3 linked regions of the Diceros bicornis minor genome follow. The protein of the gene in region 1 purifies or fractionates together with the protein of each later gene. This does not show direct contact. Links are inferred from orthologs where the notes say so. Each region holds a gene or a part of one and is shown on either strand. Other genes may lie near its edges. The genes, in order: SMURF1, SMAD6 and STK38.

Region 1 (9,990 bases):
CTAATCCCACTCATTAGGGTTCCACCCTCATGATTTAAGTGTCTCCCACAGGCCCCACCTACTAATATCACCACCTTTGGGGGGTTAGGATTTCAATGTATGAATTTTGGGGGGGGACACAAACATTTAGACGATAGTAATTACCATAGTTTTGCAGTAAGTTTTGAAATTGGGAAGCATCAGCCCTCCACTTTGTTCTTTTTCAAGATTGTTTTAGCTATTCTGGATGTATTAAATTGTTATATGAATTTTAGGATCAGCCTGTCAATTTCTGCAAAACAGCCACCTAGGATTTTGATAGGGATTTCACCAAATCTGTAGGTGAATTTGGGGACTACTGTCATCTTAACAATGTTAAATCTTCTAATCCATGGACATGAGGTATCCTCCTATTTATTTAGGTCTTCTTTAGTTTTAACTTGGTTTTGTAATTTTCAGAGTATAAGGTTTGTACTTCTTTTATTAAACTTATTTTATTCTTTTTGATGCTATTGCAAATGGAATTGTTTTCTCAATTTCATTTTCAGGTTGTCCATTTCTAGTGTACAGAAGTACAACTGATTTTTGTATATTCAACTTGTGTCTTGCAACTTTGTTGAACTCATTTATTAGCTTTTTTTTTTTTTTTTGTGAGGAAGATCAGCCCTGAGCTAACATCCATGCTAATCCTCCTCTTTTTGCTGAGGAAGACCGGCTCTGAGCTAACATCTATTGCCAATCCTCCTCCGTTTTTTTTTTTCCCTTTTTCTCCCCAAAGCCCCAGTAGATAGTTGTACATCATAGTTGCACATCCTTCTAGTTGCTGTATGTGGGACGCGGCCTCAGCATGGCCGGAGAAGCAGTGCGTCGGTGCGTGCCCGGGATCCGAACCCCGGGCCGCCAGCAGCAGAGCGCGCGCGCTTAACCGCTAAGCCACAGGGCCAGCCCACATTTATTAGCTTTAATATCTTTTTTTGTATTCTTTTGAATTTTCTATATATAAGATTATATCATCTGCAAATAGAGAGAGTTTTACTTCTTCCTTTCCAATCTGGATGCCTTTTCTTTCTTTTTCTTGCCTAACTGCCCAAGATCTCCTATACAACAGAAGGTGTGGGCATCCTTGTCTTGTTTCTGATCTTAGGGGGAAAGCATTCAGTCTTTCAACTATTGAGTATGATGTTAGCTGTGGGTTTTTTGTAGATGCCCTTTATTAGGTTGGGAAAGTTTCCTTCTGATCCTGGTTTGCCGCGTGTTTTTATCATGAAGGGGTGTTAGCTTTTGTCAAATGCTTTTTCTGCACCTATTGAGATGATTGTCCTTTATCTATTGATATGATGTAGCACATTAATTGATTTTCAGATGTTAAACCAACCCTGCATTCTGAGATAAATTCTACTTAGGTATCCTTTTAATGTGCTGCTGTATTCAGTTTGCTAATATTTTGTCACGGTTATATTCATAAGGGATACTGGTCTGTAGTTTTCCTTTTCTGTGTTGTCTTTTTTTGTATCAGGGCAATATTGACCTCATAAAATGAGTTGGCAAGTGTTCCTTCTTGTTCTATTTTTTTTTTTTTTTTGGAAGAGTTTGTGAAGAATTGGTACACATTCTTCTTTAACATTTAGCAGAATTCACCAGTAAGCCATCTAGGCCTGGGCTTTTCTTTGCAGGAAGTGTTTTCAATTACTAATCCAATCTCTTTACTTTTTATAGGTCTATTCAGATTTTCCATTTCTTCTTGAACCAGCTTTGGCAGTTTGGCTTTCTAAAAATTTGTCAATTTTGGGCCAGCCCCGTGGCTTAGCGGTTAGGTGCGTGTGCTCCGCTGCTGGCGGCCCAGGTTCGGATCCCGGGTGTGCACTGACGCGCCGCTTCTCCGGCCACGCTGAGGCTGTGTCCCACATACAGCAACTAGAAGGATGTGCAGCTATGACATACAACTATCTACTGGGGCTTTGGGGGAAATAATTAATTAATTAATTAAAAAAAATAAAAGTGAAGAAAGATGAAAACAGGGACAAGACTAGGGTGTCCACTCTCATCACTCTTATTCAACTAAGTACTGGAGGTTCTGGCCAGAGCAATTAGGCAAGAAAAAGGAATAAAAGGAATCCAAATAGGCAACGAAGAAGTGAAACTCTCGCTGTTTGTAGACGACATGATCTTATATATAGAAAACCCTAAAGAATCCATTGGAAAAATATTAGAAATAATCAACAACTACAGCCAAGTGGCAGGGTACAAAATCAACTTACAGAAATCAGTTGCATTTCTATATACCAACGACGAACTAACAGAAAGAGAACTCAAGAAGACAATCCCATTTACAATTGCAACAAGAAGAATAAAATATTTTAAAAAATAAATAAAATAAAAATTTGTCAATTTCACCTAAGTTATCAATTTGTTGGCATACAGTTGTTTACAGCATTCCCTGATAATCCTCTTTATTTCAGTATAGTTGGTAGTAATAGTTCCTCTTCAGCATAATCTTTACACCCTTCCTTTCCAATGGCAATATATGTGTACATATATATTCACATATACACACACACTCTTCAGTCTATTTTGTGGATAGATCATAATTTATTACAGCTCCTGCTGGTGTTTTACTTCTTGTTCCTCTAATTACAAAATTAATACATTACTTATAAAAAATGAAAACTTGGAAATGTATAAACAGAAAATGCATGCCCCTGAAATTCATCATTACTCTTTGTTCAGCATTTTCCTGGATAGTCTCACATACTTACTTTTCCCATTGAACTATAGAATCATTTTGAGCCAGTTAAAAAAATTAACTCATAAATAAATTTAAGAGGAATTTACCTCTTTACAATATTGAGTATTCCCATTCTTGAATGTAGTTAATCATCCATTTATTAAGTTCTTTAATGCCTGTCTTTAAACATTAAGTGAGGTTTTAAAGTATTTCATTACAGTTTTCCACATTTCTAACTGGGTTTACTCTTAAGTGTTCTGGATTTTGTCACTATCATGAATCTCATGAGGGTTCCTCTCGCTGCATTTTCTAAATGTTATTTGGATATAGGAAAGCCATCAATTTTCTTAAGTTAATTTAAAATCAGCCGTCTTTTTCAACTCTCTTCAAATGGGCCTGTGATGTTCTCTTTCCTTCACTTGCCTTTTCTTTCTCACAGCTTTGAATGTCTCAAATGCTCTCATATTAAATTCAAAGTGTCCAAAACTGAAGTTAAAATCTTCCCACTCCGCCTCAAACCCTGGTCCTCTCCGCAGATTCATTACTTCAGAGACCACCAGCAACACCCATCAACTGCACAAGCCAGAAATCTGTGTGTCATCCTTATACTTCTCAATCTCTCTCAAACCATCTCCACCCTTGTTCAAGCTCCCAACACTAGCTATCACCAAGTAATCTGTTCAAGATTTAAATCTCCTCATGTCTCTTTCCTTTTAAAAAATTCCACAGTCGCTTCCCATTGCACAACTCCAGACCTGTCATGCTCTGCCCCCAACCAACCTCACCTCCCCAGCCTCCAAGATTATCCGCCAGCTCTGGGCCCTGGTTTTTCTGAGGTGCTGGTGCTGGACTGCTTCTGACTGGAAGAATTCTGGTAACATCTCAGAAAGATTAATCTTTGTTCATATTTACAAGACTGGCAATGTTTTAATTTAAGGCTCACTCCAGCGGAATTTGGTTACATCACAAAGTGGAGAAGGTCTCAATAGTGTCAGCATAAAGAGAATTTTGCCTCAATTTTGTGCAAAGATCCTTTAGGATCATACTGAATCTACTTTAGTTAAAGGCATATTAATTTCTCCCACTAGAATAATTTTGTGATCTTGAGATAGAATTCTCTTTGTCTACTCTAGGAGATATAATGATAAAAGATAATTTATTACACAGCATAAAATCCCACTCTGTCTAGATATACCACTTATTTTTAAACAAGTATGTGATACACCAATTATGAGTGAGTTTCTGGGGATACCACAATGAACAAAAGAGACATTTACTTTTACAAAAAATGAAGCTTATTTTTTCGGTGTAGACCAGGCATGGCTGCTTCAACTCCAACTCTCAAGTGCTCTCTACTTTGGACAAATCATGTCTCTTACATCCTATAATTTCCTAATCACGTACCATAGTTTCCTCATGTTGGGGATAAAGTAAGAGTAAATTACATGATGTTCACTTAGCATCTGAAAATACACGGAAGGGAAGTGTTTTGCTAACTTGAGGTAAATTCAATTAGTAAGACAAGCTTCTTTACCAGGTCGCTGACAAAAGCATAGGGTCCCCAAAATACTATTTGTGGTTTCACCCACTCCCAGGATAAGCTACATCAACACAAATTTAGTACTTTATTATATCATCTTAAGAAATTTTCCATTTTTGGGGTTTTTTCCCCCGGTTTTAATGAGAAATAGTTGACATACAAGAAATTTTCTAATTTGTGTCAATACTTCACACTATTTTTCTATTCTCCAAGGCTAGAAACTTTGGCTGTAATTTTTATTCCTCCCTCCTCTTATATTTATATGTATCACCACATCCTACCTTCTCTTTCTTCCAACTGTCTCTTGAATTCGTCCTTCCCCTGCTTTTGTACTCACTCTCCTAGTCTCGGCTTCACCTACTCACAGCTTAATCTAAGAGCAGCGTGCCCTTCCTAACTCAAGCCTCTCCATTCACATTACACTTAGCCACCAGATTAGTCTTCTGAAATGCCATTTTCCTGTTCTGAGGCTCAAAAGACTCCAATGGCTCTGTCTTGTATTTACTGCAAATCTGTTTCTCCCTGAGTTTTAAAGTGTCCCATTCTCTAGTATCACCTTTATTTCCCACATTCTTCAAAGCGTAGTTGGGTTCATTCCCCGCTTCCATCCGCCCCAACCAGTGCTCCCGCTGGGCGGTCATTCCTGCTCCTCAATCCACCGGACAAGCCCTCTCTCTTCCTGTGCTCTATCTTCTCGAGCCAGGCGAGGCCCACTTTCTCAGTGAAGCCCCATTCAGGCCAGCGTCTCCCAAACGTCACTCTGTGATAACATTTTCACTAGTGCCAAAATGAAAACAGTGAGAACAATATAGTGGGTTTTCATAAAACTGAACTAATTAATTTTAAACACCTGTCCTTTGTCCCAGTGTTATGTCTATTTTTTTCATGTTGAAATATCCTATCTTTAACGAAATGAGGTAACAAAAAATGGTAATAGTTTCAACAGTGACTTGGCAAAATAAAAAGTTGGCAATTTTATGTGGATAGCCTTATTTACATAATGTTTTGACTGCTCCGGGAATCACTACTCTAACCAGCAGCAATCTGTTGCCGCTTTACTCCTGTTTACTGTCAGAGCCAGAGAGCTGAGTGCTCAATCACTTTTCATACGGGTGGCTTTGCCCCCAGCTAAGTTCCTCTGAAGTCCCACCTTCCACCCCTTTAGACACGGGCTTCATGTGGTGCTGGCCACACAACAGGCACGTAACGTGGATTATGATGAACAGAAAACAAAAAGCAAGCCAGAGAGTAACAGTGATAAAAATATAGAAAATTAAGGTATCTCACTAACTTAAAACATCTACGTAAAATTTTCATTTATTAGAAAATATAATTTACCACCTAGGATAGCCACCAGCACATAATATGCATTTAAAGTATATTATTAGTTGTCTATCTCATCTAACTTAAGTCTAAAACTCACTCTTTTTATCTCCTTGGGGAAAAATCCTTTAAGCTACAAAAAAGAGTAAAAACAGAATCCCTGCTCATGGCAAAGAGTAAGGTTTCCTGATCAGAGTGCTTCACTAGCATGTCATTTTCTAGGCCCTGTACCAGAGTCACTCATCCGTCACTTCTCATACAAATTTAGGAAATCCTCAAATTTTCATTAAGAGGAAAAAACAATCACATTTGAGTTACATCAGCAGACTTTAAATGCCAAAATCTTCAAATCCATACAGAATTGAACTCTGTTCCATTACCTGCTTAATGAAATAAACAACTTTTCCCAATCCTTCTCAATAAGTTTATACACATAACACACTAACACATTTCCACTATTCAGACACCATTAGATGATAAAATGATTTCTTCTTTGCAGGTAAAATTGTCTAAGTTAACAAAACACGTTTTAGCAATCACCAGCCGTCCCTATTGGCTCTGGAGGTGCGGGTGACTCTGGTAAACTGACAGGCTTGAGACAGGTTTTCCAAACACCTCCTTGCTTAAAATATGAGTGTTACAGCTTCATCTTCTATCAATGTATTAAATTAGAAAATAAAGGACAGAACTGTGTGAATTATTTGACCTCAGAAGTGTGACAGGGTTCAGCTCATAGCCCCAAACCTTGAAGCACCCGCGAGGCAGGGCTGCTGTGGCAGAAACTCTCCTCCCCCCATGAGGCAGAGCTCAGCTCTGAGATGAGGGGACATGCTTGCTCCTCTGCCTGTCCCCTTCGGTCCCCACCAGCAGCAAACACTAACACCATTCATGTGACTTTAGAGTCTCAGAAGCTCTTTTATATACATCATTCTCTACCTATTCTTACAGGATGAGGCAAGTGGACATACAGGGCAGGTGTCACTTTTTTCCACTTTATTGGTGAAATTATTCAGATCCAGAAAGATTCAGCAGCCATCCCCACTTCTACCCCCATCCCACATTACACTATCATAGCAGCATCACAGCTGTTATCAGAGTTTGAAATTAAATCCTCTATTTATTGATATGCTGCTTCATGTCTGCCTGTCCCATACAAAAACGTCCACTGGAACAGGACTGTGTCTTTGGTATTCACCACTGTATCCAGAGCTTGGTATGGTGTCTGGCACACAGAGGTTACTTTAAAATGTTTGCTGAATAAATAAATTTTATTTTTTTCCTGTCTAACTACTCACTAGAACATAAGCACCAAGACGGCAGGGACTATTCTTCTGAACCATTACATTCCTAGCACGGAACACAGGGCCTGGCATAAATTCAATGCTCAAGAAATATTTGTTGAAATAAATGAATAAGTGCTTGAATGAATGAATGAGATAGTTTTACTAGAACCTCCACTGTGGTGTGACTGACTGCCACCCCATACTCCACCAGGAGTCAGCGCCTGGCAGCTTTGCATACACCGCCACCCGACAGATCTTCTTCAGAACGAATGTATGCTATTTCTTAAGGTATCATGAGTGACATTTGGTGGCACTAGGGAAAAAAAGGTTCCCCTGCATCGAAACAGAGGTAATACAATGCAGGAGAAAAAAAAGTACATGCCAAAAAACAAGTAATAAAGTCCAGAGGGCATTTGGAACTTTTTTTTGAACAAAGCCCTCATTAATGAACACAGTCATTTTTACACCTTAAGGGATGATTTCCAAGGACTGATCAGGCCATTACACTCCAAGAAAGTCTATAACTGAGGGACATATTTAATTTTTAACTTTTAATCCTAAAATGTTGCTTTTCTTGACACCGTGGATTTGCCCCACAGAATCTACATTAGGAAGACTTCTTCCTGGGTGAAGAAAGAAGACAGGCCTCCCAGGAAGCAATTTCCAAAGCTACTGTTGGCTTTTGTTTGATTACTTCCCAAGTATTACAGGCCAGACCCCTTGGCTTGGGAGATAAGCAAAGTATCTCATTTAAAGTCTCTGTCTTTTAGAATAATTTCCATCTCCAGATCTCCAGTCTCCAGTTTCTGTCTTAAATAAACCAAATGGAATGTCTTCCAATCATGTTAGAGTGAAACAAAGGCATGAAGAATCAGGGTGATTTTACAGGTGGACACATATTTCTTTGCCTTACAACATAGGAAAATTCAAGTTTTCATTAGAGAAAGTTTTATCTAAATTTTTTAAGTTATATTCCAAAAGTAATCAGTTCCTAGATCAGTTAATTATCAACGTTGTCTCCTTAAACACGTTTATTTTTCCTTTCTAATGTCCTCATACAAAGGCCATACGCAATGGTAATGTTTATTACCTCCAACTCTACCTCAGCCTGGATGTCTACTATCTCATTTGCTGAAAAGTGAGCACATGGTGATTGTACACCAGGAACTAAGGAGCAGTGTGCAACTTGAACTTCCGAAACCACCCTGGAAGCAGACTATCTCCCAGGCAACCATCCGACCAATACATCTGCTGGACCAATACATCTGCCAAAAACATTGGATGAAGCCTATCAATGGAATCACAGTGAACAGTTTGGAAGGTTTGGAAACTTTGCCATTGTTTTGTGAAACTTTAAAAATGCAATCTAATTTCCTTGAGTATAACTAATAACAGCAGCTCAAATTTATTGAATGCTTACAAGATCATTAGGCACTATACTGCATCTGACATCATGATTGCATTTATTCAACACCACAACTCCATGAGACAGATACTGTTATTATATTCATTTTCCTGATGAGAAAACTGAGGCTTTAAATTAAAAGGTCATATAACTTGACAAACCAAGGTCAGTTAGTAAAAGCTGCTGCTTCTGAGTGGTGAATCCATTCATCCATTTAACAAACATCTGCTGATCACCCACCACAGGCAAAGCCCTGTTCTAAACTCGGAGGATTCCATGAAGAACAACAACAAAAATGGTGCTTGTCCTCAGGGTACTTCCCATGCCTGAGGGTTTGACTTCTAAGGAAAGTAAACTATGAGCATCCTTTTTTTTTTTTAACAACTGCTTAAAATTGACTTCTCGGCCGGCCCATGGCTTAAGTGCGGTTAAGTGCGTGCACTGCGCTACTGGCGGCTGCGGTTCGGATCCCGGGCGCCCACCAACGCACGGCTTCTCCGGCCATGCTGAGGCCGCATCCCACATACAGCAACTAGAAGGATGTGCAGCTATGACATACAACTATCTACTGGGGTTCTGCGGGGAAAAAAGGAGGAGGACTGGCAAGAGATGTTAGCTCAGAGCTGGTCTTCCTCAGCAAAAAGAGGAGGATTAGCATGGATCTTAGCTCAGGGCTGATCTTCCTCACAAAAAAAAAAAAAATTGACTTCTCAAGGTTGGACTATCTTCCTAAGGTTATACAGTATAAAATAAAACTCAACTTTGTCAGGAAAGAAATGAATTTCAACCCCAAAAGCCTGTCATTAAGTAAATTACATTTGATTGTCACCCTAGAAGGAACTTGAATGAACTCCATTCACAGGAGATAATCCAGGGTTAACAGGGAGGAGAACTCCACATAAATCCAAACGTCCTCACCCGCCTGACTCTTGAAGACCTGGTCATATAAATGAAGCTGTGTTCTTCTGATGAAGCCAGCCTAAACAAGGTGGTAACTGCTGAGAGTAAAGGGGAAATTGAGGGATTTGGTGGCAACAAAGCAACAAAGAATTAAGCAAACTAGTCTACAACCTGATAATCAGACCAGACCCAAAACAAATAAGCAAGGAAAAAAGGTAATAATTAATAAACAATAGCAAGAGAAAGTTCTCTCAGCATTTTCTCTCCTTCAGTTACTGGGCTGACAAATGAGGCCTTATTAATTTGATGCATAGAAAGGTCGACAGAAAACCCAAAGGTGAGGACAAAGTTTAGCAAGGTAACACATTGCAAATATCCGCATGCACGGTTATGAAAAAACCCATAATACACAATCTTTTAGAACAAATTCATTATAATTTCTTTCCTATTTGTGATTTTATAGTGCTAGGTTCTATAGCACTGAAGTATTTAAAGGTATTATTTTGCATGGTTTTATCATAAAATTTTGTATAATTACTTAGCGAATCATTATTCATATCATGTAAATCAGGGTAAAATCATTATGCTCAATTTAGTCGAGAAAAATAGAAGCCAAGGAGATTGAATAACTTGCTCAAGGTGACCTGGCAAAGTTAGTGATGGAGATAAGAACTTGATCCATCCATAAACTAAAACCACATAGTTCAACGAATTATGCTCCTTCATTAAGACAACTGAGTATTAAGAATGAAATAATTTGTCACAACATTAAAATTTCAAATAAATGTGGCCAACACTGGATTCATAAGATCATTTAAATTAAAAAAAAAAAAAT
Region 2 (9,687 bases), on another chromosome or scaffold:
TTTCTCCAAGATCCTTGAGTCAAATTAGCTCTCCAGAAAAATCTTCTGACTTCAAGAGGCCGCCCGGTCTCCCAGTGTGAGAAGGACGGTGCCGGTAATGCAGCTTCACTGTGGCAAATCCAGTCCTCAGCCTGCTCTCTGTGCAACTGCCCCTCTGAACAACCACGAGACTTGCTGCACTTCACTCAGTCACGCTGCCATTCATTCATTCACTTGGTATTTCTGAAAGCTGATCATGTGCGGGGTGTTGCCCTCTCCTGCCGCATCCACAAGGAGCAGAATAACAGGAACAGCTCTCAACGCTTTGCATGTATGATCTCAATCAATACTCACAATGGCCCTCTGAGGTAGGTACTATTATTACTAAACCCATTTTACAGACCGGGAAACTGAACCTCAGAGAGGATGGGTCAAGTGACCAAGGCCACTCTGTCAGGGGCAGATCCCAGATTAGGACCCAGGCAGTCTGACCCCAGAGCCTACGTCCACCGCCCAGTTGGGGCGAGAAGCCTTAAGCAATGGAATAAGGGGCAAGGCGCCCTGGGAGTTGGAAAACCTCCGCTCAACTCCCCGCTACCCCAATCGGCCCTGTGATCTTGGGCACGTCACCCTCCTTTCCTGGTACTGGAATCTCCCCAGGCCCCCGTCTCTGCCCCGTTCTGCTCTGCACTCGTGAAGGGACCCCCATCCCTGCTCCGGGAGGGGAGTTTCTCTCGGTTCCCTCACACAGCCCACCTTCCTTCTCCAGGTCACTTCCTCGACGAGCCGCTGAAGCCTAGAGCTTGCTGGGACTTGACTCATTTAACTGCCCCCTGGGTCAGGTAGGTCCATTTTATAGATGAGGAAATTGAGTCTCCCAGGGGTTAAACAGTTTGCAAGGTTGTTGTGAGTTTAGCGGCTTAACCTGGTAACGACTGACTCCACACTCATTTCGCTGATAACAGCTACCATTTACTGAATGCTTGTGAGGTGTCAGACTCTGTGCTAAGCACTTTAATCTTCAAAACAACCTCCCAATATGATTATTACCAGCGAGGTCTCAGGCTCTCCATCTGTAATCTGCAAGCTGGGAATAATAATAGCACCTTACTGGGGGTTATTGTAGGAGGTAAAGGAAATTGCCCAAGGCCACAGAGTAAGAGGTGGCTGAACAGGATTTGAACTCAGGTCTGTTGGTTCTACCATAGTAACGGTTCAGAACCGTGACTGTCCTGTGCCAGCACAGGCCACCTGGAGAGGCAAGAGTAAAACACTGTGGTGTGTCCGGGTGGTCTCCAGGATAATCTCGGGTGACGCACAAACATATTTTATGTATTTATTTTCAAGTGATAAATGTAACTTGCACATTTGTGACTCCATGGATATTACTGCTATGACAAGGCGAAACACAAGTGGTGAATTGATTTAAAAAATTAAGTAAATGTGTCAATAACATGTGTACACTGTTCAGATGTTCTCTCATCCTCTCAAATCTGTACCAGCAGTTCATGCTGGTTCTGTCTTCAAATGCGTCCAGGATCCGACCACTTCTCCCCAAGACAGCATGGCCCGTCCTGGACCACCGCAGCAGGCTCCCCCTGTGCCCCGCTTCCACCCTGCCCCTTGCAGTCTGTTCACATGGCTGTTAGAGGGAGCCTGTGCAAACAGAGGCAGATCATGGCCCAAACCCGCTCAGAACCTCCAGGGGCTCCCAGATCCCTCCAAGGACAAGCCACAGACCCTGCACGACCCTGCATGACCCTACAATCTGCCCCCCCAAGTATTTCTCCCACCGCATCACCTCTTTGATGGTCCTGGAACATGCGAGACATGCTCCCAGCTCAGGACCCTTGGTGCCTGGAACATTCTTCCCCAAGATAGTGTCACAGCGCTTCCCGCCCCACCACCAAGACTTTGCTCCAATGTCACCTCCCAAGGGAAGCGTTCTCTGACCGCTTTCTCTGAACCACACCTACCTCTCCTGACATTCGTTTCTCCTCTTCTCTGCTTTATTTGTGTCCTTGGCACCTTTACATTATAATACGCTGTATATCTGATTATTTTGTTTATGGTCTGTCTGTCCTCCCACGAGACTCCTTGAGCTCAGGACTTTTTGTGTTTTGCTTAAGTACAGGATCCCCAGCACCTGGAACACAGCCTGGCACCCAATAGGAGCTCAACAAGTACGTGTTGAATGAATGACCAGGAAGTTCCATTCCTGCACGTGTGCATTTTTTCAAGGGAGAGAGGGTCCACAGCATTCATCAAAGCCTCGGAAGGGTTGTCTGTTACTCAAGGGTGCCCAACTCCCCCATTTGGGGCCATGTTGGCCAAGTAGATCTACTTTCCAAAGGGGCAGACAATACTACTCAGCCAGTCAGGCCTGTAGTTGTTCTCCCTGAGTTAAGAAGTGGGGCCTTGGTTTATCCATCAGTCTCCTGTGAAGTGGATGAGGATGAATCGGTCTCCCTGCCAATCCATCTGACTATAGCAAGTGGTGGCCCAGACTCCTTCTGTGATGCCTCTGTTCATAAGCAGTGGTCCCTACAGCCCACCCCTTCCCACCACCAAGAAGCAAGCTCTGCCTTGTACGATTTCTGTCGTTTCATGCCTTGTGTCTTCCCAGCTAATGTGGAAACTTCCTAAGGGCAAAGGACCCTGTTTTCTTTTCTAGGACCAGGTGTTAAGAAGATGAACACTCACCTCAAGCAGCCCTGCGTTCAAGTCCCAACTCTGCCACCTATTGGCTGTGTGACCAGAGACAAATTACTTAGCCTCTCTGTTTCCTTCTCTAAAAACAGGTCTATTAAGAATAAAAACTTCTTCACTGTGTTGTTGGGGGATTTGACGAGATAGTGCATATAAGTTTCAGTATGGGATGATGATGAGTATAGAGCTTGGCGAAGTGAGGGATTTAATTCAACCACATCACAAATATTCATTGAGTGCTTACTATGTGACAGGCGTTGTGCTAGGGACTGGGGAGAAGAAACAGGGCAGGTGCTGCCTTGTATGAATTAGCTTCTTCAATGGCACAGAGTGGCATCAAATGGCCTGTTTCCGACTCTCTCAGTGCTGCTGTGGGTGGCCTGTGCCTGACAGTTTCACCATCTCTACCCAAGTGGGGCTTACACTCCAGAGGCAGAGGAGGATGGACGAGGAACTGTATGGTTATGAGTTGTGAGAAGTGCTGTAAAGAGAAGGCACAGGGTACTTTGGGGGAATACTAGATAACGGGTCGGGGGCAGGTTTGAATCTGATGGGTTAGAGTTTGTGAGTAATGTGGCTGCAGAGACCTGAGGAGCAGCAGCTGGGACTCCAGCTCCCTCCTCTCCTATGCCCCCCAGGGAACTGGGGCTTGTTCTCCAGAGGGGATCTAGGAGGGTGCCCTTAGGCTGTAGCTCTGTGGCCCTGCCCCGCTGGGCCCTGCCGCACACACCCTCTAGTGGTCACAACGCAGGCCAGCGCGAGGCTGGATGGGCCTCGGAGTCTAAGGACAGAGGGACTGTCACTGCCTTTCCCTTCCAGATCCTGTCTCCACCTGGAAGCTCTAAGGACAGAGGGACTGTGACTGCCTTTCCCTTCCAGACCCTGTCTCCACTTGGAGGCAGTCTTCCTGTAATGGGAGATGACTGGGCCCTCATGACATTTCATTTTGGTAATCACCACGAGCATGATTCCTACTCCCACTTCACAGATGAGAACCCCAAGGCTTAGTGAGCTGAGGGAGGTAAAGGAGCGTCAGAACCAAACTCAGGCCTACCAGACTCTCATTTTGGTGCTCTTCAGACGTCATCCAGCGGGCACCTAATGGCACCCCACCTCTAATGCCACACCTCCGGGTGAATAAGGGCCGCAGCAAACCTTTGTCCCAGTTACTGCCCGGGGAAGAAGGCAGCCCTCCCAGGAATGTCACTGCTTCAGTCCCTCCTTGGCCTGAGGGCCCGACATCCCTCAGGGCGCTCCCCCAGAAAGGGATGCCACTGTACCTCAGGGAGGTCTGGGGGATGGAAGGGGAAGGAGCCAGTGTTCACATATTTGCGCCAGGGGTAGGTGCTGGGCATTTGTGCAAGCCCTGAGGGGTAACCCATGTCCTGCCTGCTGCCCCATTCCCTTTGCTCCCATTACACACACATACCCCTGCCCCCAGCCAAACTGCCTGGGTTCAAACCCCGCCTCTGCCACTAACTAAAAGCTTGTTCAAGTTACTTAATGTCTTTGTGCCTCAGTGTCTTTTTCTGCAAAATGGTAGTAACAACCATGCCCATCCCCAAAGTGTTATGTGCAGTCTGGGCCTCGCCCCATAACACTTTGATTCAGCGGGTCCAATGCACCACATTTTGAAAATCACTGCCCTGAGAGTGTGCTGTGAAACACAGACCCACACACCACTTTCTAGCTGTCGGGGATGAGCACACATACTGGTTTATGCCCCTCTGGTTTCAGCATTTTAGCACTCTCAACGCTATTTTCATTTCAATGGCAAATTAAATGGGCAAGTTCCTGTGCCTCAGTTTCCTCATCTGTAAAATGGAGATGATAATAGTCCCTATCAGGGTTGTTGTGAGAATTCAATGACTGAATCCTTGTAATGCTTGCCCACAGTAACGACTCAATAAGCACGAGCTATTATTATTGTAATCCACAGCCAAACCAGCAAATACCCCAATAAAAAAAAATATTGTACTTTACACTGAGTTCCTCCTTGTATTTTAAGATGCATTAATTTTCCCGGGGGCGAGAAGTCACTGAAAGGGGCCACAAGAGGGTCTTCTGGGTGCTAGTTACACAGGTGTTGTATTCACTTGTGAAAATGCACCCTGCTGTTCACTTGCGATTCCTGCCTAAAATGCACTCTCTCCTAGGCTCTTCATGGTTCTGTGAAGAACGCAGGGCAGGCGTCATGATCCCCATTTTTCAAACAAGAAACTGAGGCTGAGACAACTATTTTGATTTGGCCCAAGCAGTAGGGGATGCGGGTGAGGAAGCTTCTCCGGCCGGTTCTCCATTCGGGAGAGCAACCACGTCTCACAGAGAGCGCGGCGCGAACAGTACCTGACTCCAGGTAAACCTCAACAAATGGTTCTGAGTTCTCCCTGCACAGACCGCCCTTCACCCAGCGCACACCCAGCCTCCAGCCCGGCGGGGAACTCGCACCGCCGCACGCTCACCAGGCCAGCCCCACACGTGGGCACCCCCGAGGGAGACCCGCGCGCTGGCGCCCCCGCGGCCCCCGCAGGGGAATGGCGCCCAGCCCGGGGCCAATGAAAGCAGAGGAATTTCTTTCATTCAGTGCGGGGCCGGGCTCCTGCCCGGAAAGGGGCGGGGCGCCGCGCCGGGGGCGGGGCCGCCGCGCGCGGGGAGGGGGCGGGGCCCGCCCCGCGGCCCGGCCAATCGGCGCCGCGCCCTGGGGGGGAGGGGGGACCAGGCCTTTTTTCCCTCCGCGCGGGACCAATCCCGACTTTACAAGCTTGAACTTTTGCCACCCTCGGACGAGCGAGCGCGCCCGAGGAGGTACCCCGCCGCGCCGGCTCCAGGGGCAGGAGCGGCCTTAACCCTTTCCGCGCCGGGCGGCCAGCTGCCGCCGCCGGGTCCCCGAGCCAGCCCCGGACCCGGCGGGCCAGGGCCCCGCCTCCCAATCCACCCCCATTTCCGTGGTGAAACGTCGCTGGGGGAAGCACTACCGCTCCCCACATCTCTCTCCACGATGCACAGAATAAAATGGGGAAGGGGGAGGAGGGAGCACCCGGCCTCGAGGGGGCCTGGGACGGCTAGAGGACCGCCTAGCTCCGAGGGAGGCCCGTGGCGACCGTGAGGACCCCGAGAGAAGGAGACACTCCCCGCCTCTACCCCACCCTCTGCAGGTCCCTACCTCGGGCCAGCCTGGAGCCCCTGTGCGCGAAGCGTCCCAGGCCCCCCCGTCTGGGCAGCAGAGCGACCCCTGACTATGCGCAGGGGGTGTGGAGACCTCGTGTCATCACGGAAGATCCTGCTACCCCAACAAATCAGTTGCTCCCTGCTTCCAAGAGACGCACGCCAGGAAGGCACAACACGCACACCGATTTTTATTAGCCTTCCCTGGGACGGAGGTTTGGACCAACTCTAAAGTGCAACGTGTGTTTGCAAGTTTGTGCACAAGCCAGAGAGGCAAAGCGCCCCGTTCGCGTCCGAGTCTCAGTGGGTCCACCGAGCCCTTGCGCCGCCTGCCCAGGGTTTGTGTAACTGTTTGTGTGTGCGCGCGTGTGCGTGTGCTAGCTCGTATCCCTGCCCGCGGCGCAACGCGCGCCAGAGAGCAGGCTGTGGGCGCTGTCAGGCCCGGGGCGGGGGTGCCGGGGCGAGCGTGGGGCGGGGGCCCGGGCTCCGCCCGCCCCAGGAGCCGGCCCCTCGGAGCCTCGGGCCCTGCAATGGGGCGTGTTCTCCTTTAAGAGTTAAGAAACTTGAAACCTTGTTTGCGCAACAATCAGCGCCGCGGAGCCGCCAAAGTGTCTAGACTGGCATATGATGGGAGGCAGCCAATGACTCCGCGGCGCTCCTCCGGGGGCCCTCAGTGTGCGTTTGAGGAGAACAAAAAAGAGAGAGAGAGCCGAGCAGGGGAGCGAGCGAGGGAGCCAAGCCGAGAGAAAGAGCCGCCGGGCGCTGCTTCGCCAGACCTCGCCGGGACCGCGGGGCCACCGGGAGGCACTTTTTGTGGAGGGGGGAGGGGGACGACCTCTGCAGCCGCGGCGCCCGGGGCGTCCGAGCGCAGCGTGGGGCGGGCTGCGACCTCTGCTTCGTTGGATTGCATTTTTAATTAAGGATTCCTAGCAGCTCTTTGGGATTTTTACAGTTTCCACTCATGTGTTGACACTCGCGTTCAGGAGAAACTCGCTCCAAGAGCATCTAGCGCCTGGGACCTGAGACGGAGTTGGCTTTTCATGCATGCAATTCCAGGGATTTTGGTTTTGTTTGGGGTTTCTTTTTCTTTCTTTCCTTTTTTATTTTTCTTTTTGCAGGGAGTAAGAAGGAAGCTGAGGGTATCAACAAGCCTGCCTCTCGGATCCTGCAGGAAAAGCCCATGTAGTTAAGCGCCTGGGTTTTAAAGGCAGGGCTTCCCAGACACAGGGGGTTCAGCGCGAGCGCTTTGTGCTCATGGACCAGCCGCGCAACTTTTGAAGGCTCGCCGGCCCATGCGGGGTCTTTCTGGCGGCGCGCCGCTTGCAGTCTCCTTACAGCGCCGGTGCTGGAGTTGCTGAGCAGCCCGGCCGCCGGGGTCCATGTAGCCGCTGGCCCGGCGCGGACTGCGGCTCGGCGTGCGCGTGTTCCCCGCCGGCCCGCCGCGGCGAGCTCCCTCATGTTGCAGCCCCGCGGCGCCCCTTCGACGACAGGCTGTGCGCGGTCTGCACGGCGCCCGGCAACGGAGCTTCATGTGGGGCTGCGGCCCGCGTAGCCGGCGCCTCGCTGAGGGAACGGACCCTCGGTAACCGGAGACCGCCTCCCCCCCACCCCCGGCGCCAAAGGATATCGTATGTTCAGGTCCAAACGCTCGGGGCTGGTGCGGCGACTTTGGCGAAGTCGTGTGGTCCCCGACCGGGAGGAAGGTGGCGGCGGCGGCGTCGGCGACGAGGATGGGAGCTTGGGCAGCCGAGCTGAGCCGGCCCCGCGGGCACGAGAAGGCGGAGGCTGCGGCCGCTCCGAAGTCCGCCCGGTAGCCCCGCGGCGGCCCCGGGACGCGGTGGGACAGCGAGGCGCCCAGGGCGCAGGGAGGCGCCGGCGCGCAGGGGGTCCCCCGAGGCCCATGTCGGAGCCTGGGGCCGGCGCTGGGTGCTCCCCGCTGGACGTGGCGGAGCCGGGAGGCCCGGGCTGGCTGCCCGAAAGTGACTGTGAGACGGTGACTTGCTGCCTCTTCTCCGAAAGGGACGCCCCTGGCGCGCCCCGGGACGCCGGCGACCCCCTGGCTCGGGCTGCCCTGGAGCCGGCGGGCGGCGGGCGGAGTCGCGAAGCCCGCTCGCGGCTGCTGCTGCTCGAGCAGGAACTCAAGACGGTCACGTACTCGCTGCTGAAGCGGCTCAAGGAGCGCTCGCTGGACACGCTGCTGGAGGCGGTGGAGTCCCGCGGCGGCGTGCCGGGCGGCTGCGTGCTGGTGCCGCGCGCCGACCTCCGCCTGGGCGGCCAGCCCGCGCCGCCGCAGCTGCTGCTCGGCCGCCTCTTCCGCTGGCCCGACCTGCAGCACGCCGTGGAGCTGAAGCCCCTGTGCGGCTGCCACAGCTTCGCCGCCGCCGCCGATGGCCCCACCGTGTGCTGCAACCCCTACCACTTCAGCCGGCTCTGCGGGCCAGGTGAGCGGGCCCCCTGCGTGGCTGCCTTTCTGTCCGTGACACCTCGGGCGGGCGGAGCTGCGGGTGCTCCCCCGGGTGCCCCTGGAGCGTGGGAGTTCCCAGTGAAGGCGCCTCACCCTGAGAGGAAAGCCAGGGAGTGGGTATCTGGGCACACACATCAAATGGCAACTTCATCATAGGGCTCCCGCAAACTTAAAAAGGTACGCGTTGGAGTTTTGTCTGCGCAGCTTCAGGGACGTAATGTAAGTTCCAAACTCATAGACAGTGAAAGGGGAGGGCAGGCCTAGGAGAAGCCAAAGACAGGAGTGCCCCATCCACCCCCTCGCATTTACCCCTAGTCTGTGCCCAGGCCTGTATCATTTGTGTGCATATGCCTATACCATTCGTGTGCATATGTGTATACCATTCGTGTGCATATGCCTATAGCTTCGTTATACTTTCTTGTACCCAAGGAGATGTACATCGTAAAATTGGACGTAGACAGTTCATGGCTAGAGTCAGTAGTGTTCGTTGTCCCACTTGTTCCTTTATACATTTCGGAGCAAAGCTTTTGCAGGGTATCCCTTCTCAGAGTGGAGACCTCTCTCTTGCTCTGATTGCACCCAACATCCCTTGGGTGTCCAGTGCCAGGGCCCTCCATCATCATCATTCTCAATTCTATGTCCAGGTTTTGTATAGGGTGAGGGTCCTGGAGGCGTCTGTGAGTAGGCGAGGAAGCCAGGTATTTTATTACCTCTGAGAACTGCCCTCCTTCTTTGTTCTCTTGCTGGGATTTCCTGCACACACCCCACCTCCAGATCTTACCTAAACAGGCCCTGGGTGCTGGAGCAGACGTGAGGACAGGCGGGGGCTCCTGGCAGGCCAGAAGCTTGCAGTGCCCTCTGCTCTGACTTCTGCGCTGCAGGGAAGCACACTTTTTAGTTCGTAGCATCTTAGGGGTTGTATGCATCTTAGGTGGCATTGGGGGTTATGCAGGGGTGGGACTGTCAGAGAGTTACAGGCTGTGGGGCCTGGGAGGTCCCTGAGTTCCTCCTGTCTGGCCCCTCTGGAGAGTCAGCTCTCAGCGGGGCGGCACCTAGCGGGTCAGATCACAGGTCTTGTGACTCCCGGTGTGCAAGGGGAGGGTGGGCCTAGGAGCGTGGGTTTGTCTCAGGTGTCTTGTTTGTGTGTGGGGTAGTGGCTGGAGGAGAAAGGAGGATGCCTCAGTGCTCAGTGGTGGTTCCTGATGGTGCGTGGGGAGACGCAGCACTGATCTGGCCGCCCTGCTCCCCACATGGTCGCTCCAGACCCCTTTCAGGGGCGTTTGGCAATCCCTGACCTGTGGCCCACGGTGGGCATTTTGTGCCCCTTATTCCTCTTCCTGACAGCTTCCCCTGGAAGTGCCTTCTTCCCC
Region 3 (10,240 bases), on another chromosome or scaffold:
AATTTTATGTGTTTACAGTATGTGCACAGAATTATTAGAAAGATATATATCAAAATGTTATTAGTGGCTTAACACTAGGGAGTGAGAATACAATAAATCATTTTTTTATTCTTTTTCATGCTTTTCCACATCTTCTATATTTTCTTCTATGAGCATGTACTATTACCATCAAGGTATTAATAACTTTTAAGTTTACAGTTTCTACAGTTAAAAAAAAAAATCCATGACTCTATAATGCTCATCTAGACCGGCCCCATGGCGCAGTGGTTAAGTTCAGCACACTCTGCTTCAGTGGCCCAGGTTCGGACCCCCATTGTGGACCTACACCACTCGTCAGCCATGCTGAGGCCTCATCCCACATATAAAATAGAGGAGGACTGGCACAGATGACAGCTCAGGGCTAATCTTCCTCAAGTAAAAAGAAGAGGAAGACTGGCAACAGATGTTAGCTCAGGGCGACTCTTCCTCACAAAAAAAAAAAAAAAAGAAAATTTAATTAAATTTAAAAAATAAATAAAAGTAAAAAAATAAAATACTCATCTATAGGTATCTATGTACTCTGACACAGCTTATGGTATTTGATAAATGTTTGCTATTTGAATTTACAAGTTAAAACAAAGACCTATGACAGAAACAATATTACAAAGAAAAAACCTGAATCATAATTTTAGTGATGGAAGATACCTTAAAAACAAGGGACCCTAACCTCCCAGTTTTACATATGATAAAACCAATACCAACAAGGTTTAGATAGCTCATAGAATTTTTTTCCCCCCTAAATTTAAATCGCATTTTCCCCCAGGTATTTTTATCAACCTATACTGTCACACTTGGCCAGATTGTTCACCAACCTTGACCTGCTCCAGCATTAGCAATAATGCTCAATATTTTACCCTTATCACGCCTTCCTCCCACATGACCTGTCTTTATGTCTTTCTTTTCATCTGAATATAAAGCTGAGTAAAAATTAGAAGGGGCAAAGGGCCATTTTCAAAGATAGTGCATTTTATGAAAAGTTTTCTTAAGATTCTCTCCTTAATACTTAGCAGTTTTCTAAATTGTTTTGTAGATTAAACTAAAGCTTTTAAGGAATGTGCAAACTTATTATTAAGAAAAAAGACTTAACATTAAGCGATTTTATAAAAAGATACTCAAGGGAAAAATCACATAAAGAATAATCCCTTCAGAGCAGAGATTCAAAATCAAGGCTTTACTTCAGAGTCAAACATTTTGTTTCATGATGTGCCAAAATGATCAGTAATCACAAATTCGAGACATTGTATCCAGCTCTACATAACTATGAAATGTTATTTATTATGGGGAAGTTTCTAATACAAAGCAAACTCAAATGTTTTCAGGATATCAGTAGAAGAATTTTTTTAAAAACCTCTGTTTGGTTTATAAAGTTTGGGTGTGGTTCCTTATTTGTCAGCCTGTACCCACTCCACCCACAATGAAAACCACATGCACTCTAAGTTTGGTGAAGAAATTTTAAAACCAGATTTAAAAACAAGTCTGAAGCAAGTGAGCGCTTTGTACTCCTCCCTTGTCTGAAAATTTCTGGAGACCCTTTATATATATATATGCAGTTACATTTTAACAACTGAAATTATTTCAACACAAAAATACAACAACTAGAGAGTGTTTAAGCCTAAGACAAACAGGGCCTTCCATATAATAGGTGGTTAATAAATGTAAGTTGAGCAAGTTAATGATTTTTCAGTCGTCAACAAAGCTAAAGAACAAAACTATATTTATATTGATGGGTATATAAAAACTTGGGGGTAAAAGTTTTGACCCATTTAAGTCACTGGCATGACTTCCTAAACTTTTAAAAAGATCAACAGGAGATTAAGTGCACCCAAAGATGCTCATATAGTAGGCCAACAAATTTTCCAGCAGAATGGTTTTCAATCTTCACGTAGTTTCTAACGTAATGGCAAAGGTTGCACTGTCCTTCCCTTTAACTTTTCTTCAAAATCTCCTCCTCCTCCACTCATAAAAGGGTTAGCCTAATTCTAATAACCTTTCATCAAAAGATACAACTACTGTTGCCCTATAGCAATTTATAGGCTTACTGGGTTAACCAAGTACTTTTTTGTGTGTGTGTGAGGAAGATCAGCCCTGAGCTAACATCCATGCTAATCCTCCTCTTTTTGCTGAGGAAGACCGGCTCTGAGCTAACATCTATTGCCAATCCTCCTCCTTTTTTTCCCCCAAAGCCCCAGTAGATAGTTGTATGTCATAGTTGCACATCCCTTCTAGTTGCTGTATGTGGGACGTGGCCTCAGCATGGCTGGAGAAGCGGTGCATGGGTGCACGCCTGGGATCCGAACTGGGCCGCCAGTAGCGGAGCGCGCGCACTTAACCACTAAGCCACGGGGCTGGCCCTCAACCAAGTACTTTTAATAAAACAAGGCTTTCCCTCCTGCTTTTGCTAATTCAAGCCTTCATGCCCTGACCTACAGGCCATTGGAGGCCCTTCATCTATTTGTTTCATTCTCCAACTCTGCAGAATTAGGGAATAACAGGTAGGTGAGAAATTCTTAAAAGTTTAAAAATGTAACAAAAAGAATATGATCCTTATAAGTCGGGGTATGCACTGCAAACATAAAAGGAGATCAAATGAAAACCAGTTTTATTCAATACAGATAGTTATGCCTGGTTGACCGGATTTACAATGGTACTCTGTTATCTCCATAAACACCCCCTTCTCTCACCAAATCTTTACTTCTTTGTGACCGACAATCCAATACCTTTCATTTGGACAATGATGAATCCAATTCAACACTGGAGCTAAGACTATTCCTTAAGAGTCACATATTTAACTTTTCCTACTGAACCGTAAGCCACTGGAAAGCAAGCACCCTGTCTTAAACTTCTTTTTAATATCCTTCCCCCATCTTACACACAATGCTATGTACTTAGTAAGCACCTTATAAAAGATTTACTAGGAAAACACTCGTTTTTTATGTCCATGACTAGGAGTTAAGAACATGTATGTGTGATGGAGATAGGGCTGGGACATGGAACGGTTTTCTATACAGAGTTGGAGGACAAAGTTCCCATCCTCTAATGAGGAAGCTGATACCTAATGTCTGGAGTGGAGAGTGGAGCCTTGTTACTGTGGTGGCGGTGGTTTTATGTTTAGGGAAACCACATCTACTGCCTGGTTAATTCTAATTCAGAACCAAGGTGAGCTGAAAGCGAGAGAAAGCACAGAGTCTACTTTACTCCAACCTTCCTCTGTACATTTCAAAAGCTTCTCTTCGTGTCTTGCAGTCAATTCAAAGTGCAACTGGTAAATCTGTTCTACTAGCCGTTCTGTACACTTTCCGACACGGACTTTCCTCTAAGTCCTTACCGACTTTCCTTTCCCACTCTCTTCTTAAAAGACGAGTCCTCACCAAATTCTCCTGTGATTTTTAAGATGATCTGAAACCCCGTATCCTAAGACTAACCATGGGGAAGAGGGCAGACTCAAAAGCACCACACCTCGTTTTCGACATCTCTGCCTCACACAACAGCTCTCAGGTTCTCAGACCCCAGAAAAAAGAACAGGAGATGGAAATTGGTAGTGACCGAGATCCCGGAGGGGACCGAGCGGTGGCAGCGAGCAGACAAAGCTGACAACATGTACAGGAGAAAAGAGCCTGGCTCCCCGCCCCAGCTGCACACGAAGAAAGGGAAAGGCCAGGGTGGGGAGCCTGGGACGGGGGAAACGGGCAGAGACCCGACAAGAAGCCTCTGGAAACCGGGACGAGGGGGACTGTCAGGAGAGCAAGAGAGCGGCCGAAGGACCGAGAGGGTGGGGAAAGAGGAAAGAGGGCGCCGGCGGGAGGGTAGAGCCCCAAAAAGAGTCGGGGGAAGAGGAGATGAAGGAAAAAACCGGGGATGGACAGAAAACAGCGGCAGCAAGCCACTCACCAGAGCCCCGGGGGAGGCAGGGCTGGGGGCCGCGGACAGCCTCAGACGCCGGCCCGGCCAGCGGTCGCGAAGCGGGGACAGGCGAAGCTCCGGCGGCAGCAGTCAGTTCTCCAGAAAATGCGCGGGGACCCGTGAAGGTCTTTGAGGTAGGGGCCAAGGAGCCGTTGCGGGCAAGGACAACAGGAAGCGCCCCAACTGCCGGAAAAGACGGCAGCGCGCAGGGGCCAAGGCAGCCGAGTCCCCCGCCACGGAGAGAGGCTGGCGCGGCGGCCGGGGGCCGCGACTGCGCAAGCGTGGCTTCCCGGCGACGCGGCAGAGGTTTCAGGACTGCGCGTGCGCAGCCCCGCCCCACCACACCCCTCCCCGCCCTACCCCAACAGGAGAGGCGTCGCCGAGGGCAGAAGTGTGAGGTGTTCGGCGGGCTCCGAGTAGGGAGGGGTCAGCGGAGTTTCCCTTACGGTTTTGTTGTTGTTGTTCACTTTTTATTTCGAAATAGTTATAGATTCACAAAAAGTTGTAAAATTAGGGCCGGCCCGGTGGCGCAAGCGGTTGGGTGCGTGCGCTCCGCTGCGGCGGCCCGGGGTTCGCTGGTTCGGATCCCGGGCGCGCACCGACGCACTGCTTGGCAAGCCATGCTGTGGCGGCGTCCCATATAAAGTGGAGGAAGATGGGCACCGATGTTAGCCCAGGGCCGTCTTCCTCAGCAAAAAAAGAGGAGGATTGGCGGATGTTAGCTCAGGGCTGATCTCCTCACAAAAGAAAAAAAAAAAAAAAAGTTGTAAAATTAGCATAAAGAGGTCCCATATACCCGTCACCCACCCAGCTTCCCTCAACATCTTACATAACTATACTACATCATCAAAACCAGGAAATTGACCCCGGCACAAGACAACTAACTCATCCAATACAATTACCTGAATTACAAACCTTACTCAGGTCAACCAGTTTGGCATGCATGCATTTGTGCGTGTCGGTGCGTGCTCGCGCTCATCTGTAGTTCTATGAAATTTTATCACCTATATAGTCCTCATCGCCCACCTTCCCCTGATTTTCGACCGTCGTAGTAACAGGTCTGCAGGAGCCCTTGGCCCCACGTACTATTCCTTGAGTCAGGATTAACACGCTCTACCCTGGGATCGGGCGAGCTCTCATAGGTTTGGACGTGGGCTACCAGGAGGGGGTCCCAGTGTGCCCAGAGGAACCTGCTTTTCAAGGCTACCCAACCGCTTAGCCTGTACCACCTCTTGGGGTAAAGAGGTCCCAAGCCTTTGGACACTCACTCATTTCTTGAGAATGGAGCAGAGTGCTCTTGACCAGAAATTGTCAGGCTCCTGGAAACAAAGCTGAGTAAGGCATGGTCCCTGCCTGACTTCAAAGAGGCCATCCAGGGTGCGAAAGAAGCATGTGTGCAAGTCATTCATTAGGGTGTTTTGTGATATTACCGTGCCTCACTCTCTTGTGTAACTGTTTGTAAGACCATAGGGCTTAGTTTGATCCTTCAAGCTTGGGGTCCCAGGCTTTGTTTCCTTAATATCTTAAAAGTATAGGTCTTCCTTGACTGCTTTCATCTTTTTAGACTTCAAAGCCCAGTTTCCTTTTGTCTAGCCTCATGCGAAAACCACTTCACCTTTCATTCTCTCTGCCTAGAGGCCGTTCTCCCCCAATGTCTTTTGTGTCCAACTCCTTCCCATCCTTAATGACTTAATAACAGTGCTAGATGTTTGCATAGTGCTTTTCCGTTTATAAACTGCATTCACTCATTTAATCTCAGTTGATCCTCACAACTCTTTGGCAGGTTGCATAGGATGAGATTTTACACATAAAGTAACTAACACTGAGAGAAGCAACGTGACTTGCCTGAATTCTCACAGCTATTAAGCCAAGTAGGGAAGTAGGGAACCCCACTTTCTGACTGCGAATTCAGTGTTCTTTCTGCTTTTCCCCTTTCCTTCCTCTAAAGCCCAAATCAAACCTTATGTTTTCCTTGGAGCCTTCCCAGTTTCAGAAGAGGGATTTCATTCTCTGCTATCCATAGTCCTATATTAATTTATCTGTACCCTAACTCTAATAAATACTAAAGTTGTCCTCAAAATAACCCAGCCAGAATATGCTGCTCTCCCTACATGGATCCAGGTGATGACATTTTACCATGACTCCAAAAAGTGTAGTGGGTATTTGTCATTCTTTTTGACCACCTAGCTCCTGAATCCCTTTCATGCATTTCCCACTTCTCACTATCAAAACTGCTGATTCCAGATATCCTCTCTCCTAGACTCCCTTGCACCTAGGGTGTGGGCACAAAACCTAAGTGCCACTTGTACCCACCCCAGACTGTGAGTTGGAAACTAGGGTGATCTGACCCTGTACTTGCAGCACTCAGCCTCATTTGCCTCACTCTAATACTGGTGTTGTCAGATGCTGCCTTTATTTTAAATGTTGCCATTTTGTTCATCATGGATTTTTTTGCATTAATTTTTATTTTTTTAAATATTATCTTGATTACTGAGTTTTTTTACACCCTCATAAATCTTGTACCAAGGCGAGTGTCTTGCTCACCTCACCCTACTCCAGGCCCTGAAAAGATCCCTCTGAATCTGTTCCAAAGAGTGGTGGCTGCTTCATACAGTTTCTAGAGACCTACACAGAGGGCTCATTGGCCAGAATTGTATCACATGGCTACCCTTCTTGGGAAAGCAAGTACTCAGCTTTTTTATGCTCTGTAATGAAAGCAGGCAAAGAAGAAAGGGGTTGGGAATGAATATTGTGTTAATCCAGTTAATAATGTCTGCCATAGTAGTATATATTACTTTGCTGTTCTCTTTTAATCTGATTTACTAATCTAAATGGAGAACTGACATATAGCAGAACCCTTATTAATTGACTTCTGATTAATGGGAACACTGAACAGAGTCAATCCCTTTATATTTTCTATTGTATATTATTTCTGCCCTCATGTAATTATAGTCACAATATAATTCACCTAATCCAAGCTTCTCAGTTTTATAACAGATTTCTCTAAAAACTCTTGGAAAAAACAACCTTACAGTATACCAAGTTATTCTTTATCCCCCTGGGACTTGAGTTACTTGATTTGAATATTAGCACTTTTTTGTCTGCTCTTTTCCCCAGTTTCGGACCCACTAGCCTTTCCCTTCTCTTTAAATCCAGGCTGCCGAAGCAAAGCCTGCCCAACTTAACCCCTAGGCCACTGGCGCTGGCCCCCAAATTGTTCTTTGTCCCAAGGGAACCACCTGCTGCTTCTCCATCAGGCTGACCTGCAGGTGCTTCACCAGCTGAAGATCAGCCTCTCAGCAAAGACCACAGTCCTCTAAAGGACAGGCATCTTACCCCCAGCAGTGTGTGCCCCACCCATTGGACGCGATGACATCAGTTGCCTCTGAATATTCCTCCCAGAAGAGGATAGGAACTGTGCTTGGTGCCTGCTAGCCCAGTGCTTCTCAAATTTTAGCGTGCACACAAATCCCCTGGGATTCAGTTAAACTACAGATTCTGACTGAGAAGGTCTGAGCAGAGCTGAGATTCTGCATGTCCAACAAGCTCCCAGGTGATGCTAATGCCGCTGGTGCACGTACCAGACTTGGAGTAGCAAGCAACTTGAACATATATCTAAGGGAAGAATAAGAAGGGGAAAGTGCCCATGATCCAGCAGCCCAAGGTCCCTACCAGGGCCAGACTCGGGTGAGGCACGTGAGGCACCTAGGGCACAGCATTGAAGGAGGCTCTCAAGCTCAGGTGCAGCCCCTGCACTTGCATGACCCTGAGGGTAAGCACCTCCTCACATTGTGTGTCCAGGCACCTTACTGCCCACCCTAGTCCCAGCCCTGGTCACTACCAACTGACATTTTGGTGAGTATCCCTCCAGACTACTTTCTAACACACATATAAACACATATGGGATCATACTGTATATGATTATACTGTATATAATTATACCTACACTATTACCCATATAGTTAATTACACTGTTAGTATTTGTTCATTTATATCTAAGTTGTGATATTTTTAAATCCTCAAGCTCTGACAATTTAATCTCAACAAATTTATTTAATAATTCTGTTCCTCTAAAATGTGCATACTTGCTTTCTCGGAGTGGAAGAATTATGAATAGTTATTATTTTCTTCCTTATACTTTTCTGTACTTTCCAAATTTTCCACATTGGACCCACATAACTTTTAATTTAGTTTTTATTTTTATCAAAGTAATACACGTATGGACTTGAAAGAGACCAGATGATCTATGAGACTTATAACGATAAACAGCAATTCCCTGCCCCACCCACTCCCACCGGACTAACTCAGCAGAAACAGCTGCTTTCAGCGCTTTTAGTTGTTTCTTCTGCTATTTACCTCCTTGTTCTAAGTATTGTTGCTATGTCTTAAGTTTTAGATATTTTTTAATTTTCTCAATGAAGATGAGATTTTAACTCACACCACAACTTCCCCATAACTTCTTCTACCACTACCATTCTTCTTAAATCAGTATTCGGTGTTTACAACTGAGCCAAGCAGGGCAGAATAATTACCCTATCTCCTTGTACCATTTTTTGTTTTCCCTGGAGTTAACAATTGCCTCAGTGTTTCCCTTCCCTTTAAAATATCTATCACTAATTTGTCTGCAAGCTCTCTGCCAAAACTGGAAAACTTTTCTAAGATTATGGTCAAACTCACAGTCTGTCAGCTCCGTTGTTTTCTCTAGGATCTTCCTTCCTGGAGCCCTCGGTATTAGTGAGGGTTCTCCAGAGAAACAGTAGCAATAGGAGAGAGAGAAAAAGAGATGGATTTGTTTTAAGGAACTGGCTCTCATGCTTGTGGGAACTAGCAAGTCCCAAATCTGTAGGGCAGGCTAGCAGGCTGGAAACTCAGGGTTTCTATGTTGTCATCTTGAGGTAGAATTCCTTCTTCCTTGGGACACTTCAGACTTTGCTCTTAAGGCCTTCAACCGACTGGATGAGGCCCACCCACATCATGGAGGGTCATTTGCTTAACCTAAAGTCAAGTGACTATAAATGGGTTTTTCTTGCATTTTGTTTTTTTTGTTTTTTTGGGGTTTTTTGGTGAGCAAGATTGGCCCTGAGCTAGCATCTGTGGCAGTCTTCCTCTATTTTGTATGTGGGATGCTGCCACAGCGTGGCTTGATGAGCGGTGTGTAGGTCTGCCCCACACCGGACCCTGGGCCGCCTAAGTGGAGCACACGAACTTAACCACTATGCCACTGGGCTGGCCCCTATAAATGTTAACCTTATCTAATATATACCTTCACAACAACATCTAGAATAGTGTTTGACCACACTGGGCACCATAGCCTAGCTAAGTTGACACATAAAATTAAACATTACACCCTCCATCCTCCCAAGTAATCTTTCTCCCACCATGTTTTTTTTTCTCTTTAGTGTCCCCCTCCCGCGTAATCTGTAAATATCAACCATAGTTTTCGGTAAATACTTCCCAAGTGAATTAAGACAACCCATCATGGAACTGTGCTAGGGTAGATAAAGTGAATGGGAGAGTCAGTGGGCACCTCCTCTACCCCATCCAGCTGCCTTCTCATCTCCGTTTCTTTCCCACTGTCCTAGGAGAGCAGGAGGTACAGTGCTGAGCTCAGACAGCATATGTTCTGTGGTAACTGCAAATAACCAAGCCTGGCCAGGAGAAAGAGAATTTATTTGCAGCTCCAGTCCTTCGAGGAAGCATTCGTGTAATTAACCAGGCCTGCAACAGCTGTCTGACTGGTCATTTTTACCCTAGTGCTTAGGCTACAAACCTGAAAACCTCGAAGTAAAGTAAGCACTAAATGCAAAAGTAGCGTTTCATATTATTTCTTGGTTTCAGACTTACAGACATGCCAACACATAATACAATGATAGCTTTGATCATATGATTTTGCTTTCTTAGAGATTTTTATTTTCTTTAAACTGAATGCTTAATGATGGGGCCAAAATAATTGAGAAGTCTTAAGAAATACAGATTTTAAATTAATTGTTTCCAAATGACTGTATGTGTATGTGTGTGTGTGTCATGATGAGTCAGAGTTTCTTTAGGAGTTGAGGGTGAAAATTCTCAAAAACTAATGAAGGATGTGAGCGTGGCAGGTCCAGGACCCAAACAATGCATAAACTTTTCCCATTTACCTGTTTGGGAGGGAAGAGATTCTACAAACCTTATGGAGCAAGGAGAGAAACAGAACTATAATTTCTGAGCAAAAAGAGTGACAAAAACAAGTTCTCCAAAGCAAAAATAAATCTGAAAGCCAGAAGTGAAAGGGATAAGATATCCACTGACCTCACCGTGCTTA

What was found.
Region 2: the proteins of SMURF1 (region 1) and SMAD6 purify together in Homo sapiens (affinity purification with western blotting; 4 studies listed by BioGRID). This does not show direct contact. The link is inferred for Diceros bicornis minor from reciprocal best matches to the Homo sapiens genes SMURF1 and SMAD6.
Region 3: the proteins of SMURF1 (region 1) and STK38 purify together in Homo sapiens (affinity purification with western blotting; 3 studies listed by BioGRID, with this or other methods). This does not show direct contact. The link is inferred for Diceros bicornis minor from reciprocal best matches to the Homo sapiens genes SMURF1 and STK38.

The regions. Positions count from the first base shown.
Region 1 is NC_080765.1:7,551,487-7,561,476, reverse strand, and holds the start of SMURF1 (E3 ubiquitin-protein ligase SMURF1), read right to left. Parts: upstream 4,981-9,990; 5' UTR 4,886-4,980; coding exon 4,801-4,885; intron 1-4,800. UniProt on the Homo sapiens protein: E3 ubiquitin-protein ligase that acts as a negative regulator of BMP signaling pathway. Mediates ubiquitination and degradation of SMAD1 and SMAD5, 2 receptor-regulated SMADs specific for the BMP pathway.
Region 2 is NC_080744.1:60,815,768-60,825,454, forward strand, and holds the start of SMAD6 (mothers against decapentaplegic homolog 6), read left to right. Parts: upstream 1-5,612; 5' UTR 5,613-7,483; coding exon 7,484-8,294; intron 8,295-9,687. UniProt on the Homo sapiens protein: Transforming growth factor-beta superfamily receptors signaling occurs through the Smad family of intracellular mediators. SMAD6 is an inhibitory Smad (i-Smad) that negatively regulates signaling downstream of type I transforming growth factor-beta.
Region 3 is NC_080753.1:28,358,223-28,368,462, reverse strand, and holds the start of STK38 (serine/threonine-protein kinase 38), read right to left. Parts: upstream 4,184-10,240; 5' UTR 3,928-4,183; intron 1-3,927. UniProt on the Homo sapiens protein: Serine/threonine-protein kinase that acts as a negative regulator of MAP3K1/2 signaling. Converts MAP3K2 from its phosphorylated form to its non-phosphorylated form and inhibits autophosphorylation of MAP3K2.